3 linked regions of the Coturnix japonica genome follow. The protein of the gene in region 1 purifies or fractionates together with the protein of each later gene. This does not show direct contact. Links are inferred from orthologs where the notes say so. Each region holds a gene or a part of one and is shown in the gene's direction. Other genes may lie near its edges.

Region 1 (5,483 bases):
CTGCAGCAAATGCAACCCAGGAACTGAATGGTGACTGTGTTTTGATCCTGCCATGGATATTACATCGGGAATGTCCCTAGGCCTGGTTATTATTGTTGTCCATCCTCGTAAATAAACTTCAAGTGTTTGTAGCCAGTGAGTAGTGGATGATTCAGGTGTGTTGGTGCTTATGGGGAGTGTATTTTGTAGTGGAGATCGTAGAGGAATGTTCTCATTTGTTTGGTGTGAAAACAAAGTTAGCAGAGTTTGCATTACATCCTTTCTTTCTAGGAAAAGACAGACATTGAATATACAGTGCCCACCAAACCCATTAACATGGCAAAATACGGGCTCAAGCAAAAGCCTTGTTGTGGAATTGAAGAATTAATTATCTGCAGCAGTGGAAGCCATGGCAGGTGTATAATCTTTGTTTCAAAAACACTACGTGAACATGTGAGTTGAGGTTTCTAGATACAAGCTGGTCTGGTGTGGCACTGGTTGTTCTGGTTTTCCCTCCAGTAGTTTTGAATTTTATTGCAAAGAAATTGAAGACAATTAAAACCATGTTAGATTACTGTACAACTGCTCAAACCATCACAAATAAAACCTTACATGCTGGACTGGTCTTCATCTAGAAGGGAACATAGCAAAACTATAGTTGCAGCATTTTCTTAATGCTGTTCCCTACAAGCTGGCAGGAGGATCCTGAGAACGGGCACAAACAATGTTTTTTGAGCTGAATTACTTCTGTTGTGTTTACAAACTTTTCTATCATCCTTTGTCAGACCAAGGTGCTGAGAAGCACGATGGAGCTGGTACTTCAGGAATCACTGATCAGGAGAAGGAGTTGTCGAGCAGTGCATTACAAGCTTTTCTGGTAAGACACAGCCAAGCCCAAGCTTCTCTTCTACCACATAACTGCTAAACTGGTTGATAGAATTTTTTGTTCCCCAGTTTTCTTAGCATGGCGGAGAATGTATTAGCAAGTTATTATACTAAAATCAATGCTTGTATTACAAAGCCAGTGCGTACATTTCCATAGAATCATAGAATCGTATCATAGAATGGCTTGGGTTGGATGGCACCTCAAGGTGAGCATAATATTCTTGAATAATTCATTCAGCAACATAAATTAAGGCTCTCTTGGGAAAGTTAGGAAAGGTGTGTAACCTTCCTCTTCTGCCGGCCTGTGTTAAGCAGACATCCAGGGGCTAAACTGGAACTCAGTCTGAAGATGAAGTGAGAGACAAACATAAAAAGGTGGGCCACGAGTTAGACAGGCAGCTGCTCAGTGTACGTGTGATGGAGACAGATTGTGGAAACTGAGGAAATAAAGAATCTTGAAGCTTGATATAATGACGCCAAAAGAACAACAGTTTTTGTAGAAACATGTTTGTAATAGTTAACTGTTCTATTTGTTCTTTCTCCATTGAATTCTTGTTCAGTTTTAGTTAGGACCTCAGCTTTGACTTGCTTCTCATACATTTCAGTCTGCATGACAAATGGAGTTGGTGTGGAGCTGTTTACTTGTGTTGGTCAGGGAAATCCTACATTGCTCTCTAGACTCAGAGAGAGGAGGAGGCTGCCATTAAAAATTATTGACTTATTAGAGGATACAAAGTTTAAACTAATCCCTTTGTGATGCCTGCTGTTTCCAGGCGGGAAATTATGATGCCTGTTTGCAACACCTGAACACCCTTCAAGACATAAACAAAGATGACTACAAAATAACTTTGAATACTGCAGTTGCAGAGTTTTGTAAAAGTAACCAGACCACAACAGACAATTTGAGACAAACCCTGAACCAGCTGAAGAACCAGGTAATGCAACCACTGCATGATATTTAAGCATTGTTAATGGGGATGGGATCTTCCAGTGAAATAGGAAGACAAGTTTTGCCTCTTCCCTTTGTTAACTTGTAACTGTTACTGCCCTATCTTTAGGCTCATTAGTACCTTTGGATTATTTTTCTATAATAAACATTTGATGCTTTAACATCATAAGTTTGGAAAGCTTAAGGATAAACAAGATTCAGTTCTGTGTGTTTTGGGTTTTTTTTCAGGTTCACTCTGCTGTTGAAGAAATGGATGGTTTAGATGATGTTGAAAATAGTATGCTTTACTACAATCAAGCTGTTATTTTGTATCATCTGCGTCAGTATACTGAAGCTATATCAGTTGGAGAGAAGCTGTACCAGTTTATAGAGCCTTTCGGTGTGTAGGCAGAAGAGTTTTGTTTGTGCAGTAACGAGGCAGAGTAAATGATCTTCCTCTGCTTATCAGAAAAGTGACTTGTAAACGTACATAATAGTAATAAAAAAAAGACAGGCTTAGGAATGATGAGTAATCTTTACTTATAAGGACAGCATTTGAATTTGGGTGGGAAGGTGCTTCAGAGACACTTAGCAGATGAGTATAACAAAACTAAAACAGATATTTGACAACTTCAGGAGGTATTTTATGAAGCAACAGGGATGAAGTGTTTGTATGTGTGGGTCTCAACAAATCCAGTAAGTATAATGCTGTTTCTCCCTCAGTTCTCAGTATGCCTGTGTGGAGCTTACTCTGTGAAACCAGCCATGCAGAGATGTGTTTGTATGGAATCCTTAAGTTCTGTAAGATTCTGTATAGGCTTATGGCCCATCAGTCTCTTTAGACGCTGGATCCTTGGTGCCAGTGTGCTTAGATCAGTACTCAAAATCAATGTGAAGTGATTTTTAAGCTGTCTTTGGTCTTTGCTTTCAGATGACATGGGTATGAAAGAATTACCTCTTTGTGTTAACATACTTGTCTGTGTGATGTAGGTGTCTGCTTTTTTATCTTTTTTTCTTATTTAGTATTTGGTTTTTCTCATAACATTGTGTAGATGCACTTTGCAGCTGTTAAAGTGGTTTTCTAATTATTGCTTTTTTTGTTCTGTGATTGTTTAGATAGGAAGGATCTTACAGTCCTAATACTGATCTACTTTTGTTTGATATAGAGGAGAAGTTTGCCCAGGCTGTGTGCTTCCTGCTTGTGGACTTATACCTGCTGACTTACCAGGCTGAGAAGGCCTTGCATCTCCTTGCTGTCCTGGAAAAAATGATTTCACAGGGCAACAATAACAGCAAGAATGGAAAAAATGAGGTAAGCTTAAAATGGCATGAATGCCGCTGTCTTTACCAAAGGTATGTTTTTATTAAATCCAAAAGTAGTCTTTTAAAATAGTTCAGAATTTTAAAGCTGTTAAGATATCTGTAACTTCAGACAACTGCCACATTTTAATAACCAAGTTAATTGTGTACAGTAGCTGTATGTTCTTTCCTTCCCACCCTTTTTGTGCCAAGAGCTAAGAAGTGTCCCAAGTCAGAGACTTATATTAGAAAGTCAGTTGTCTTCAGTGCCAAATATACTTGGTTTTCCTGGTGTCCCAGATGACGACTGTGTGATACTCTGTGTTTGAAATGTCAGTGAAATTAGTGCCACAGGGTGAGAAGTCAAAAATTCCTTTAATGTATTGTCTGGAAGTATGAGGTGGGCTTTCAAATGCAATCTTTGATATGTACCTTTTGGAAACTACTATAGAATGGGTAGTGGCTTGGAAGTGGAAAGTGGACACTTTTGTCTTCTCCTGTTGATAAAATGTCACACTTAAGATACAACTTTATTTTTGAGTATATAATAGTTCTGCCAGAGAAAATATGGAGAAGAGAATCAGGAGCATGCAAACTATATTTCTGAATAAGAGCATTCTTAGAATTCCTCAATGCTGGAGCAGATTAGCGTAATGCTAACCTTCATATAGAGCTCTGTACCTCATAGGCTGATGTCCTCCTTCTTTGGTTTTGATTGCAAAGCTTAAGTTACAAGTTTTTGGTGGAATATATGGACATTTTTGTATTTGTTTGTTTTTCTTTTAACATTATTGAATATCAGTTTTCATCATTAAAAGAGATTGTTTTTACCAATCACCTTTTAAGTTCAGTTTACGGTTTCCTTCATAAGCTCCTAATGCTTTTTTATTTATTTCTGTTTTTTGTTTTCTTTTGACAGTCAGGTAATAATACAAATAAAGATTCCTCCAATCAAAAAGCTGAAAGTGGAGCTTTAATAGAAGCTGCTAAATCTAAAATACATCAGGTGGGTGTGTGTGTGATTTGTACAAGAATATCCATTCAGTCTTCCTTAAAACTGAGAGCTGCCTGCCTCAAATCTAGCTCAGCATGAATTGTGATATTGTCATCTTCAATTTCATTTTGTAGGTCAGAAAAATGAATTTAACTGACCCTTTTTTTTAAGATCCACGTACAGGAGAAACTGACCTAAGAAAAATCCCAGTTTCAATACCTACATCTTAACATAATTTTGTTAAATGGCATTTAGCTCTAATAATCTTACATTTGTTTGTCTGCAAGACAGTCTAAATCAGTGAGGTTTTATTTCCCAGTACTGCTCTTTGGGAAAATGAGTGAAGAAACAATATGCTTCACTATCACCTTTTGCTTATTGGTTGAACAGGTAACTGTCTGGGATTTACAGGTTAAATTATTTTAATTAATTTGTTGTTTTATGTGCTGATGTTTTGGTATTTGAATGTAAAGCTGTTGAATGTTTGCCAGTGAATAAAATGCACGTTTGCCTCTTGCAGATAGGAATTGTATAAATTTGTTGTTGATATTCTAAATAGAAATTCTTCCTTAGAAGAACCTTTTAAACAGACTTTCACTACCTATTTTACAATGTATATAGGAAATCTTATAATAAATCTCTAGGTATGGTCCATCTTGCAAACCTGCACAAGTTACTGTTTCTAATATAACAAATTTAATTTTAAACAGTATAAGGTGAGAGCCTATATCCAGATGAAGTCACTAAAAGCATGCAAAAGGGAGATCAAGTCTGTTATGAATACAGCTGGAAATGTAAGTATTCTTAAAGCTATTGTTTTTGTAATCTAGGTCTGTTCCCTATCTTAAAACTGGATTTGGTAACTTACTTTACAAGGAAAGGTCTTCCTGAGGATGGATGTCTGAAATAGTGCTGTGTACAATCAGTTGGGTTTGTAATCTCTTTTCTCTAAGTGTATTTGATGTAGGACTTTGAATTGCTCGAAAGGTTGCACTTTGTTGTTAACAATTTAAAGTAATAGCAATGCAATGCTGTGTGCAATAGAGTGGTTAAGGGTGGCTTATAATTTGGGCAGGGCAAAGTAAGTTTTAGTTGGCCATTAATGCTCAGGGAAATAAAATTTTTGGATGTCATTACTGAGTAAAACCACTTGAGAAAGATTAATTTGGGAGTTTTCAGTATTTGGGGGGGTTTTGCGTGTTGTCTTTTTCGGGGTAGTTGTTGTAGTTTGTTGGAGGCTTATCTCTTACTAGAAAGCAGTTTCTTCTTTTGTGTTGGAGTTCTCAACTCAGAATTGTGTCTACCATACCATGTATATTCTGCATTAACTGAGGATCAGGGAGTAGGAGGAGAGCACTTGCCTTTTGTTGCCAGTCTCAACAGGTGCTGGTTTGACGG
Region 2 (6,163 bases), on another chromosome or scaffold:
GGAAAGAGAGTCCCCTGAGGGCTGTTAAGTGCAAGCAGAACAGCTTCAGCTCAGGAAGTCTCCGATCTGCAAGTTGCTGGAGGATGGGAGAGTTCAGGGGCAAGTCTTGCTCTGTGCTTGCCACTGCTACGACTCCCTTACCTCCTGCTTCATCTTGCTGGAGTTGAGATCTTGAGCTTTCCCTGAAACCAGGTCTCTTCACACAGGTTTGACAGCAATGCCTCAGCCAGCTCCTCCAGTGGGGATGGTGACAGTGACCGAGGTGAGAAGAAGCCAGCCAAGAAGGCCAAGATTGTCAAAGACCGCAAGCCCCGTAAGAAGCATATGGAGGTGAGAAGTTGTTGCTGGTAGAGTTGTGTAGATCAGGACTCACTGCCCTTGGAACATGGATTGCTGCTCCTATGTTTGGAGCAACACCAGATCCAGGTCACAGCACATCAGCTGAGCTGCTTCCCGTTAGCCTTCTGCTGTGGTCTGATCCAATCCCACCACCTCATTGTGCTTTGCTGGGTTTGGGTTGTCCAAGCCTGGCTCTTCTGCTTCCTGCAGGCTTTACTTCATCTTGCAGATGAGTCTAGATTGAAACACTTACAAAGTATATTGTGGTGTCTGAGCCTGGCAGTACCCTCTGATTGTTGGAGGACTTGCCCCCCACAGGTCCTTCACATCCACTCCACTTACTCTGTGGGTGCTTTCACCTTTGTGTGTGTGTGAGCTGACAACTCATCTGTCTGATTAAGTAGCTGAGTTACGGGTGGGATGCAGGAGGCATCATCTTGGGGTAACCAATTAAGACTTTAGTGTGTGGGGTATTTCAAGTCTTGGTTCTTTCCACTTCCTGCTTTCCAGAGCAAGAAAGGCAAAGACCCCAACGCGCCCAAGAGACCCATGTCAGCTTACATGCTTTGGTTGAATGCCAACCGTGAGAAGATCAAGTCAGACCATCCTGGTATCAGCATCACAGACTTGTCCAAGAAGGCTGGGGAGCTCTGGAAAGCCATGTCTAAGGAGAAGAAAGAGGTGGGTTGCTCTTCCAGTGTGGATTGCTAAGCCGTATGTAGGAAGGGAAGGTGGATGTCAGGATGCTCTTGCTTGGTCTCGGGATCCTGCTGCTCCATTAACGGATCAGGAAGGGAGGGTGGCAGTGGGGAGCTGACATCTCAGCTGGTGTGTGAGTAAGGTCTCCAGGTGGTCAGGGACATGGGTGGAGATCGTGTTGGACTCTGGTGGTGCAGATGCTCATGATGGTGGATGGTGTGGGAACAAAGTGCCACTTAACCTGCTTTTGCTGCAGGAATGGGATCGCAAGGCAGAAGATGCCAAGAGGGATTATGAGAAGGCCATGAAAGAGTACAGCGTGGGCAATAAGTCAGAGAGCTCCAAGATGTGAGTATGCTGAGCAGACAAGAGGGATGTGGCAGGGCTTCACTGTTCTGGAATCTGTCTGTCCTCAGCTGCTGTGGTGGCTGGGCCTCTCTGAGGCTGGGGGATTGTGAGATGGGACCAGTGAGCTGTCAGCAAGGTAATGCTTCTGTCTCTTCCACCCTGCCAACACACACACAGGGAGAGGTCTAAAAAGAAGAAGAAGAAGCAGGAGAAACAGATGAAGGGGAAAGGGGAGAAGAAGGGTGCTGCCTCCAAGTCTTCGTCCTCCACCAAGAGTTCTGCCAAGAGTATGAGTGAGAGCTTCAAGAGCAAGGAATTTGTCTCCAGCGACGAGAGCTCCTCTGCAGAGAGCAAGAAGGAGGTAGTAGGGCGGTTTGGTGGTGGGATTTGCTGGGTCTTATTTTACCTCATCCCTACAGGCATATATTCTTCCAGATAGCATGTACATCCAGTCTTGTAGCAGAGGACTGAGTTTGGTCTTTGCTATTGGCAGAGGAGCAGGTGAACATGAGCTGCTCTGCTTCTACTGTCCTGACTTCCCATTTCTTCCCACAGGACTCAGAGGATGAGAGAGGCGCCAGCCCGGCCCAAAGCTCAGAGGATTCCGGATCCGGCTCGGATTAGTTCTGTCCCCGCTGGCTCCAGGCTGGTTCCCAGATCAGCGTGAGGACTGGGTGGGCCGGCCCGCAGGAGGGGTCTGGCTCTTGGGCTCTGGCTGGCTCCGAACCTGCCTGGCCGCCCTTCCTCCTACCTCTGCTGCCAGGTGAGGGGAGGCACCGGAGTGGGGACAGGAGGGTGCCCAGCTTCACTGCTTGAGCCCTTTCCCCTCAGTGCCTGGCTACAGAGTGAAGCCCCACAGAGGGGAGGCCCAGGAAGGAGCCTCGATCCCACTTCTGCCCTGTTTCTCATCAATTTATTTTTTTTAAATACTCGGGTTTGTTTCGGTCTCTTATTTTTTTCCTTTTTGTATGTTGGGTCAGTTCACATGGCAACTCGAATTGAATAAAAAACACCCGCGGCGGGACTGCAGTGTGGGTGTGGAGGTGGGGGTGGGCCGGGCTCCTCTTCCCCAGGGGCACACGGTGCTGGGATGCCTTCCTTCTAACATCGCCTTTCTCCCGGCATCGCCTCGGCCTCCTTGAACCGCAGCCAGGGGCTGAGCTCACTCACAGCCCATCCATTAGCAGCCGGAGCCCCTTCCTGCGGCCTCCCTAATCCTGTTAGTCTCCATCAGCCTCCTAATGGAGGGCCGGCGGTCGATCCCGATGCCGTGCGGATGTTCTCTGTGCCCTGGAGGGCCGCACCGTGCCTGGGGGTGGTGGTGGTGATAGTCATTTCATCAGCGTTCCTGCTTGACCCCGGCATGGCGGCCTGGCTGCGAGTCAAAGGCTGCAGGGGAACGGGCTCGGGGAGACGGGGCTCGGCCTGGCCGCCCCCTCTGTAGGTCACAGCCGGTTTGTGGGGCCGCCGCACCCCGGGGTTCCCCTCTACCGCCCTCTCACACTCAGGCCCCGCACAGCCCGTGCTCTATGGCCGCTGGAGGTGCCACGCGGCGCCGCTCTAGTTCTCCGCTCTCTCTGCTCGGCCACGTGGGGTGGGCGCGGCCCGAGTGGGGGCGCGGTGGGTGGGGAGGGGGCGAGGCCATCGCTCATGAATATGCAGCGGCGGCGGCGGCGGCGGGTGAGCGCGGGCAGGGCGAGGGGTCACGGCGGGAGCGCGGCGTGGGTACGGTACCGGAACGGGGGAGGGGCGGCGGGCAGCTGGGTGGGGTTATCTGGGCACGAGGGTGGCGATGGGGTCGGGGTCCTTGAGGCCGTTCAGCCCGTCGTGCCCGGCGGGGCCGAGGCTCGGGCTGCGAAGGACACAACGGGCCGCCCGGCCCTTCGTGCGGCCCCTCCTCGCCGATGGAGCGGGGGGCTCCGTTTCCATGGCGGCGCTCCCGGGCCCGCCCGGCCACTCGAGCGGGGGCTGCGTTACCGTGACAACGCGGGCAGGCCCCGGAGGATGGGAGGGGGGAGGGGGCACCCCTGTCTCCCTTCCCCCTTCCAGCCCCGTTCCACACCTCCCCCCCCCGCCCCGCTTCCCTTCGCCTCGTCACCGAGCGGGGCCTCGTCAGCATCCCGGGGCTGCCAAGGGGTTGGGAAACAGCCTCGGCGGGGGGAGGAGGGGCGGGAGGGGGGGGACGATGGCTTCCAGATGTGCCCCCTCCGGTTCCGTTTGGCCGGGGTGGGGGGAGCCCGAAGAGAGAAGGGGCCCGAGGGGAGAGGGGGGGGGAAAGGGGGGACCCCGCATCGCGAGTGGGAAGGAGGGAGCGGGGAGGAGGCGAGGGGAAGGCAGGGCAGGGCAGGGCCGCGAGGAGGAGGAGGCACGAGCGAGTTTTTCCTGTCCCCGCAGCGCCAGTGAGTCACGGGGAGCCGTGCGGCCACGCCAAACCGGGCCTGGGCATCGCGGCCCGCTCCCCTCCAGCCCCAGACCCGGCCATGAGGCGACCGAGGGGCAGGTGAGGGGGGGGCGACCCTATAGGGCCCGACGGGGCTGGGGATCGGGACGTGGGAGCGGTATGGGCTGACGTGGTGTGCGGAGCACTTCCGTGAGGGAACGGGCAGCGGGTGGGGGGGCTGCCCCAGGTGTAGGATGGGGGGTCGGTGCGGGTGGACGAGGGGCTGGCACCGCACACAGAAGGCAGCCCAGGTGAACAGGGCTGGGGTGCACATATTTACTGAGGTGTGCAAGGGACTGGCACGGTGTGCTCTATGGTTGGGTGCTGCCGGCGGGTTGGGGCAGTGTACAAAGGGTGGTACGGCCGAACGGAGGCTTGGCGGTGAGATAGTGGGTTGGCACGGTGTGCTGCACTGGTATAAGAGAGTGGGAAGCCAGCAGCACAATGCAACATGCTGCAGGTACAGCAGGGACCGGGGGCACCAGGGTGAATGGGGCAGCAGGCCCCAGTGGACAGGGTGGACTAAGGTTCTTCCGTGACGTTTCTCCCCTCTCTCTTCTGCAGGGGCTGACTGCACGCTGAGTCTGCTGAGCATTAGCTCCGGCTTCACCATGGCCTCCCAGCCCCAGTCCCTGCACCCCCCACTGCCCTGTGCCTCCGGGGGGACCGGACTGGCGGCTGGCAGCTCTGAGAAAGGTGAGAATCTCCCTGAATGGCTTATATGTGTTTTTAACCCAGAGTGAGATGTCTGCAGGTGTTGTTGTGTTCTCCAACTCCCCATGTTTCTCCTCGTCTTTCTCCCACAGGCAGTCCTCGCCCCAAGCCTCCTGTCCGGCCCAAGCCCCGTGTGCTGCCCAAGCCAGCCGTGCCTGCCAAACCCTGCCTGCCTCACCCCCCACCAGCACCACGGCATTCTCGTCCTGAGCTGCCCTCCGCAGAGAAGATAAACCGCCTGGCAGGCCCCCAGCCGTACAGTGGGGGTGGCTCTGGGGTGGCCCTCAGACGCCCCTCTTTCACCATCAAGTCACCTGAGACCCTCAACGGGAAGGGGCTCCCATCCCCACCAGTTTTCACTCCTGAGGACTCGTGTTCAACCCCCAGTGATGAGGTGCCCCCGGCCCCATCGACGCCTTCCCGCAAAGGTCCAGCTCCCTTTAAGGTGACACCAGTGCCTGTGGCAACCAAGCTGGAGCGATTTCCAGGCACCACCGTGGAGGAGATTCTGGCCAAAATGGACAGCAAGGAGGGAAGCCCTGACCGGGCCCGCATCTCTCCCTTTTGCTCCGATTCTTCTTCTCGCTTTGGCTCCAAGATCTTCACCGCCTTCCGGAGACGCCCTAGTGGGGAGGCAGATGGAGACTCCCCTGGTGAAGCCCGCCAGCTGCTCCAGCAGGCTGAGGGAGAGCTGGGGACAGGGGGTGACAGATGCCCGATGGTTGAGATGAGGTGAGGGGCAGAGGATCGGTCCCAGGGACAGGGAACCATGGGGAAAGCATCGGTGGGCAGTTAGAGATGGAACTAAATGGAGCTGGAAGGGACCTGAGGTCTGGTCGCCAGTACAAGGCTGTTGTTCCTCCTAACCAACAGTGCCTTGAGCCGCCTTCGTGGGAAGGCTTGGTCACCCGCGACAACTCTGGTGGTTTATTAAAACCACAAGAATGGGCCGGCCCAGCTGAGGAACTGCCTCCACGCTTGCAGCCATCTGGGACTGGAACCTTGCCAGACAGCACTCCGCTGCCCAAGCAGGGAATAACGGGGGGTTACTGCCCCTGGGAAATGTTCCCCCTTTTCTCCACTCTATTTTTTTTCCTGCTAGTTCATGCTAGAGCAGAGAGGCCTCAGATCTGTGGGACTCCTGGCTGCAGGAGGGGCTGGTTGGAAGCCAGCACTTGGCTGTGCTCCCTAAAGCCGGGCACCTCTGGGAGCAGGGCAGGGGCTATTTTAAACCAGAGTGTGAGAAACTTGCACTCCAAAGGATGAAAAACTTTCCAGAAAAGGGGTTGTAGCTGAATTGCCTTTGCAATCCTAACCTACCCTGATAATTCAGGGCATGTTTCCAGTGCCCCTTACAGAGAGTTAAGGGTTGGTTGTGGTCCTCGTCCACATCCTTCTGTGGCCAGAGCCGGATGGTTTGGGGTTGGGAGGTGTGTGCTTGTGGGAGGAAAAATGGGTTGCACGCCATATTTACCCCCCTACCTGTTTTTCTCCAGCAGCATCTCCTCCCCAGCTGGCGCGAGCTGTGCCGGGGACCCCTGTGGACTCTGGAGGCCACCATCTCCCCCTGACGTGAGTTCTCGCCGCACCCTCCTGCGTCGCGGCCACTCCACTCCTGGGCTC
Region 3 (6,277 bases), on another chromosome or scaffold:
ATCAGCTGAGGCAAATAAGGTCAGCTGTGGGAGCACAGGTGAGAGTAATTTAGCTGTGCTCCTGGAAGGGGTGGAGCTCGACTCCACCTCCTCTAGACCTCATTTAAGGGCTGACCACCACTAAGGCAGCATCTCTTGGGGATTGCTGCCTGGTGGAGATTGCTTCAGTATTTCCTATTGAAGGCAACCATGTTGGTGAGTTTTCCTTATAAATAACAGTAAATTCAATTTATGACAACACCTAATAAAAAGTTTACATATCTTTCAAGTGCCTCAAGCTGGACTTGAAAGTAAATGTTCAATCTGACTGAACAAAAAAGAAAAAGAAGCCTAAGATGTCTATTTCTTTAGTGGATAAATGAGTATTCAGTGAGGCATTAAAGCTTTCTGTAGGACCTGGGTTCTAAGCTTGTTCTCATTTACTCTTTGGTCCTGGCTTAATGCTGGAATAAGGAAAATAAACAGTGTTTCACAACACGTGCAAGGAGGATAAAATAAAAAGCATATCATGTTTTAAGGAGTTCTGGCTAAACGTGACAGTGCTAAAAAAGAGTATTTATCCTTTTGTTTCTTTGAATATAATCAAAAGTACAGGGAGAGCATATGTATTTTATAGTCGCTGATGAAAAGATGGAAAGCTTTGTTATTAATTACACGTGAATCTGATGTTGTAGAGCTGTTAAGCCACCAAGTAACATAATTGTTTGCTTCCTTTGCTTACAGGCCCTCGTTCTAAGATGCATAATTCCTGCTGCTGAGCCTTTTGAGTGCACTCCTGGCTGTAGGTGAATGACTCCATGCTGGGAGCTGTGGGACATGCCTGGAGTTCAACTCACAGCACCCAGATCTACTGAATATCTCCCACTCAGAGCCTGAATTAACTTTGTTTTATATCAGCCCCTCCAAGAGCTACAACAGAAGGTAGGATGGCCAGAACTGTAGCTCCACGCAGGGAGCTTTCAACCAGCTGAGATCTCCACGCTGCAAATTGCAGCTTGCCAGGAAGAGCTTGCTCCTACATCTTCATAAACAAACAAAAGCATTCCCTGCTATAAACAAGCAAAGCAAGCAGCTGGTCCTCATTGGAAAAGACGTTACATCCATTTCACAAAGGAATCCGCAGATCTTCTTCTTCATGCAAATATTTTGGGGCAAACAAAAAGCAGCTGTTTCTGTTGCTTTATACCTATTAGCAGGGAAACAAAATCCAGGATGCTTGTATTTCTTGTAAGGAAAACATCCTCTTGGCATCGATGTTCGTTCAGATCTCAAACTGTTTAACACAGGCTGCATGAATCTGCTTTTGCTTTGTGTTCAGCAAGAGGGTAGAAACCTTTTTTGCTCATTAAGACCTAAAAGCAAAACAGCCGTTGAGGAGCTTGCATGGGTTTATAACAAAGGTTGTGAAGTTTAGAATGTATGTTTTATCTGCTCTGTGCTCCCAGCTCATGTTAATGTGCGGAACGCTGTTAAAGAAAGGAATAATGTATTGGAGTGATGAAGGCAGCCTTTAATTACTGCTGGTAGGGACCTCTGGAAGGATTGAGGGCTGGATAATAGAAGGTGCTTGTATTGCTTGAGCTGGCATCTCTTGGAAGGTTCTGCCTGGTATCTGAGAGCTACTAAAACTGAACTAAAACCCATCTGTGATAATGGCTGAGTGGAAAATAAGAGCTTGGCCTTGGATGTCACCCGCCGGGTGGATGTACCACAAAATGTCACCTCCCAGGAAAAAATGAAGCCGTTCCCTTAGAGAACGCATCAGTTCTATTACAAATGCACACAGTAATGCCGTGCTTTCACAGCATTGCATCACAGCAGGAAGCGATACATGACTGCCCTTAACAGCATTTCCAGTTTCTACAGCAAACCAAGGAAAGCAAAGTACAACCACCACCACAGCGGCGCGCCGGCGCGCTCCGGTAGGCTCCGCCCCCTGCACCTGATTGGCTGCACTTCTTCCGGTCTCCCCCCATTGGCTGCTTGGCGCTGCTCCCCCCGCCCCTCCCGCGCTTCTCTCCCGCCCCGTCCGCGCGCAGCGCTCCATACTTGGCGATGGCCGGCGAGCCGCGCTCTGATTGGTTGAGCTGTGAGGTGAGGGCGGGGCCGGCGGGGCGATGACCCGGATGTTCACTCCTAGGCAACGGCGGAAGTGGAAGGGCCGCGGCCTGCCTCGGAACGAGGGAGAGCGGAGCGGAGCGGACCGGGAGGCGCCGCCGTTGCCACCGCCCAGCGCAGCCCCGCCGAGCCGCCATGGTGAGCACCGTGCGGGATCCGCCGCTTCCAGCCCCGCAGCTGGGCCCTATCGCTTCCTTTTCCCTCCCACGGGGCGGCGGTGAGGGAGGCCCCGGCTGCGGCCTGCACCGGGGGGAGGCGGTGGGGGCAGGGCCCGCGGGGGGCGGTGGGGCAGGGCCTGGGGTAACGCAGGGTCTGGCGGCTCGAACGGAGCCGGGACTGGCGGCCGGAGCGCTGCCTCCAGCCCCGCGTCGCACCGCAGCTGTGCGGAACCAGGAACCGGCGGCGTGCGGGGCGGCCGAGCCTGCCCGGGCAGACACCGCTGCGGTGTGTGCGGCTCACACGATGAGGGTTGGAGTGTCTGGCTTCTGCAGCCGTGTAGCGCAGCCTGGCCGCGATGTGCTGGGGGGTGAGTGCACACAGAATGACCCGGGTTGGAAGGGTCCTCAAGGATCATGTAGTTCCAACCCCCCTGCCTGGCAGGGCCACCAAACATACACCTTTACTAGATCAGGTTGCCCAGGGCCCCGTCCAACCTGGTCTTGAACACCTCCAAGGACGGGGCATCCACAACCTCCCTGGGCAGCCTGTTCCAGGGCCTAACCACTCTCCTAGTGAAGAACTTCCCCCTAACATCCAACCTAAATCTTCCCTCTTTTAACTCAAGTTCACCCAAGGGACAAAACCTTCGGTTTCCCTTTGGTGCTGTGCGTGGAGGGGGTGCAGCCCCTGGGGTCTCATCTCCTATGGGCTCACCCAGCACCTAAGGGTGGAGATGTCTTGCTGTGCCCAGCCTGCCTGGCGGGGTGCCCACTGAGCCCCTGTAATACAGCGTACCTGGAGGGCTGTAATTGCTCCAGTGCTTGGTACTGCTCAGGAATTTGTGGTTTGATGTTTTTTAGGACTGTTCAAATATAGTTAGGTTCAAAATGTACCTGGTTACATGTAAAGACTGGTTTAGTAATCAATCCTTTGCTTCAACTGTAAGAATTTCAGAGGCAATATCTTATCCTTTCCTCTGGAGGCTGAAGGTCCTGGTGGTCCCAATGCTTATATGGCACAGGATGAAGATGTTTGATTTCTAGTGGAAGGTGAAGAAAGCTTATGATCAAGATTCTGTGCCTGTTGGAACAAAGCTGTGCTTGGCACCCAAGCGTGGGATTGGCGTGATGGAGCATCTAACTTCACATGTGAATGTTAGACCAAGAGCCCTGGCTGAAGTCTTTGTACACAAGACCTGCTGCAGGATTTATTAGACAGGAGGCCAACCAACTGTCCTAACTTAAAAATCCTCACAGAGAAAGAACTGAAGGAAAACAAGCAGGCTTCATGTAAAACGACAGTGGTGTTACCTGCTGCTTTTAAGGGAATGCAGAAGTATGCTGTAAGAATGATTCAGTTGAGGTGTGTGACTTCGTTACTCCTTAGGGGAGATAGAGCACAAGCCCTTTAGGAGTTTTTTGAGTGCTGTAAGCTTTTGCTGTCTTCTGATTTCTCATGTTTAGTCATGGAAAGCATTGGGTACAGGAGAAACCTGACCAGGATCTCCAGTACTGTGCTAGGCTCAGCTGTTGGGTGGACTTCAGGTAGGAACCTGTGGCAGCTGCCCCGTTATTTGTGTGTTGTGGTGGCTGTGTACACACCCGAAGGTTTGTTCACTGAGTGGGGCAAGTGGAGTGTGGTTTATGCAGGCCTACTGCAAGAAAGGTCACTGGGCTTGGTTACAGGAGACAAATGAGCTGTGGTGATGTGTTAATAAAGCCTTGCTCTTAGAATCAGCATTATGCAGACAATGCAATTCTGGCACCCAGTTTCAACTTTAGTTCCCTTCTGGTTTTTAGAGTATCCCCAGGATCTATTGCTTTTGTAGACAATACTCAAATGTAGCATGAAGGAACTAAAATAGGTCTGGCACTGACAGCTGCTGTTTTATGTGGTTCATACCAAAGCAATGTAAGATTTGTGAAACTAAACACTTTTTCATCTCCCTGAATTCTGAGTCTCTGATTGTGATTGTGTCACTCTTGAAACTCATGGCATCAGCTCAGGGAAAGTTTTCAGTGCCCACAGCACATCCTTTAGTCCTTGTACCATCTAAGAAATCCTCGTTCGTGTTATTTTGTAGAGTCCATGTTTTGTTAGCCACGTATGTGAGCTTAGATAAATGCTGTCTTAAAAGCCAAGTTCTCCAAGTAAATCAAATTGGCGGGTATTGCTGGGATAGGGAATACTGTCATTGCAGTGATGATAAATCTTTGGCTTGAGAATATTTGAACCACAAGATCTTCAGATGGGATTTCCTCATATGGTAAATATATGTGCTGATATCTTATTAGTTAACATCTGGGAATAAACCGGAATGAAAGCACAGTTTAACTCTTTTGAATTACTATTTTTAGTGCTTATTACATTAGTAGCTCAATGATTCTCTTTGGGAAAGATATGTTCTGCATTAATCAGCTGGACTTCTCTGTTGAGTTTCCCATGCAAAGGATGGCTGATGAGCTGCAGGCTGTGCATGGAGCGTTCTCCTGCCTGCCCTTTGGAGGTATGTTTGGTCACATCCAAATGGTTCCTCACTCTAATTCACACTGTAGAGCTGTCACTCAGACACTGTGCATTGTAATTTCTTTCCAATTGATTTATGTAAGGAGCTCTGAAGAGTTTGCAGTGCCCCTCCAAACCTTTGTCTCTCTTCCCCTGGTGCACAGGGTCCAAAGCAATTGCCTCCAATGTGCCCATTTTTCCTGATCCTTTGCCATTTCCAGCAAGGAAGAGGGAAAATTGCACTTAAAACCATGTGTGTGAAGGAGCAATGAATGTCTGGGCTTTATAAACCTTTTCCCACCTCCCTGGTCCATCTAGCTGTGCTGTGATGCAGGGTTTGCTTGCTGGTAGGTTATGTTTGTTTATTTATTACAAAGCTTTTCTAACTTGAACAGGAATTCAAGACTGAATGCTGGTCAAGCAGGTTTTAAAGATGTCTCCCTGCTGTTTGAGCTGAGAGGTTTTATTATGAGGAGAAAATGGAGAATGCTTGAGGAAGCTGCTCTGCTTGTTTCCTAATTATAAAGTTGTAATTTTCCGCAATGGATGCTGTCGGGGTAGTGCCAAATGGAGTGGCAACACAATCCTTCTGGCCGTTTAGATGGAATAAATCTCCTAAGTTCAAGAATCAGAAATAGGATCTGTTTCCTATCTGTGGTTGTCTAAAATAGGCTTTTATTTAGAATTACTTTAATTGCATTAGGTAATACCTGGTGCTTGGTTTCCTAGAATGGTGGTATCAAAGCATCAGACTTCCTTGTATTATTTGGTTCTCTTCTTTGGCCCCACTCTCCTTTAGGATTTAGAGTGGAAGTGTGCAGTGTGCTGTGAGCTTGTGCTCTATGTGCTGCCTCATCCGAGCTGGGCTGAAGCATTACAGAATACATCTGTAGGCACTTGACTTATCTGGCTGCCCTTCCCATAAATTACCTGCTTTATTCCTAATGAATGCAAATTCAACTTTGCTGCTTTATATTCCACCGGCGTAGCTTGTGCTGTTTATCAGCACAGGGTTGATTTGGGAGCCCTGCCTCTTGGTTTAAACCCATAAGACATTGCTGTAAGTGTTCATAGCTCACATATAGCTCACATAGCTTGTTGCAGAGCAAGTCATTACTGGTGTTGCTCTGATCTCAGAGAGGATGTCCTCCAGGTCTTTCAGTAATGGAAAGCAGAGCAGAGTTCTTGCTTTGTGCAGTGCCTTGGGATTTCCATCACGTCCTTGTTGCAAAGTGGGAGGGCGAGCAGTCTGGGTGAAAACAAAACCTGAGATCTGAGAATTTTAGCACCATCAGCCAGACAAGAACAAGAAGAGCACTTAAGAGGATTTCGTGTGGAAGGAAAAAGGGTTGAGATGGCGCTGAAGACATCAGCTTAGAGGTTGCCTTAAGCCATCAATCCACGCCACCATAAATGAAATACTTTTTTATTTCCTCTGGGGTATTTTGTGTTCTTTCAGGTGATACTTTCTATCTTCTATGTTTGCTAAAGTGCT

The links.
Region 2: the proteins of CNOT10 (region 1) and TNKS1BP1 purify together in Homo sapiens (affinity purification with mass spectrometry; 4 studies listed by BioGRID and IntAct, with this or other methods). This does not show direct contact. The link is inferred for Coturnix japonica from reciprocal best matches to the Homo sapiens genes CNOT10 and TNKS1BP1.
Region 3: the proteins of CNOT10 (region 1) and CAPZB purify together in Homo sapiens (co-immunoprecipitation; 3 studies listed by BioGRID and IntAct, with this or other methods). This does not show direct contact. The link is inferred for Coturnix japonica from reciprocal best matches to the Homo sapiens genes CNOT10 and CAPZB.

What each region holds. Positions count from the first base shown.
Region 1 is NC_029517.1:37,322,417-37,327,899, forward strand, and holds part of CNOT10 (CCR4-NOT transcription complex subunit 10), read left to right. Parts: intron 1-764; coding exon 765-856; intron 857-1,637; coding exon 1,638-1,799; intron 1,800-2,041; coding exon 2,042-2,192; intron 2,193-2,958; coding exon 2,959-3,104; intron 3,105-4,010; coding exon 4,011-4,097; intron 4,098-4,795; coding exon 4,796-4,879; intron 4,880-5,483. UniProt on the Homo sapiens protein: Component of the CCR4-NOT complex which is one of the major cellular mRNA deadenylases and is linked to various cellular processes including bulk mRNA degradation, miRNA-mediated repression, translational repression during translational initiation and general transcription regulation.
Region 2 is NC_029520.1:7,745,218-7,751,380, reverse strand, and holds the start of TNKS1BP1 (182 kDa tankyrase-1-binding protein), read left to right. Parts: upstream 1-2,507; 5' UTR 2,508-3,066; exon of another isoform or gene 3,067-3,111; intron 3,112-3,416; exon of another isoform or gene 3,417-3,522; intron 3,523-3,780; 5' UTR 3,781-3,886; intron 3,887-4,390; 5' UTR 4,391-4,437; coding exon 4,438-4,522; intron 4,523-4,632; coding exon 4,633-5,272; intron 5,273-6,036; coding exon 6,037-6,112; intron 6,113-6,163. Other genes in the region: FACT complex subunit SSRP1, read left to right, coding at 207-330, 850-1,020, 1,295-1,386, 1,564-1,747, 1,942-2,010.
Region 3 is NC_029536.1:4,121,242-4,127,518, reverse strand, and holds the start of CAPZB (F-actin-capping protein subunit beta), read left to right. Parts: upstream 1-2,122; 5' UTR 2,123-2,253; coding exon 2,254-2,256; intron 2,257-6,277. UniProt on the Homo sapiens protein: F-actin-capping proteins bind in a Ca(2+)-independent manner to the fast growing ends of actin filaments (barbed end) thereby blocking the exchange of subunits at these ends.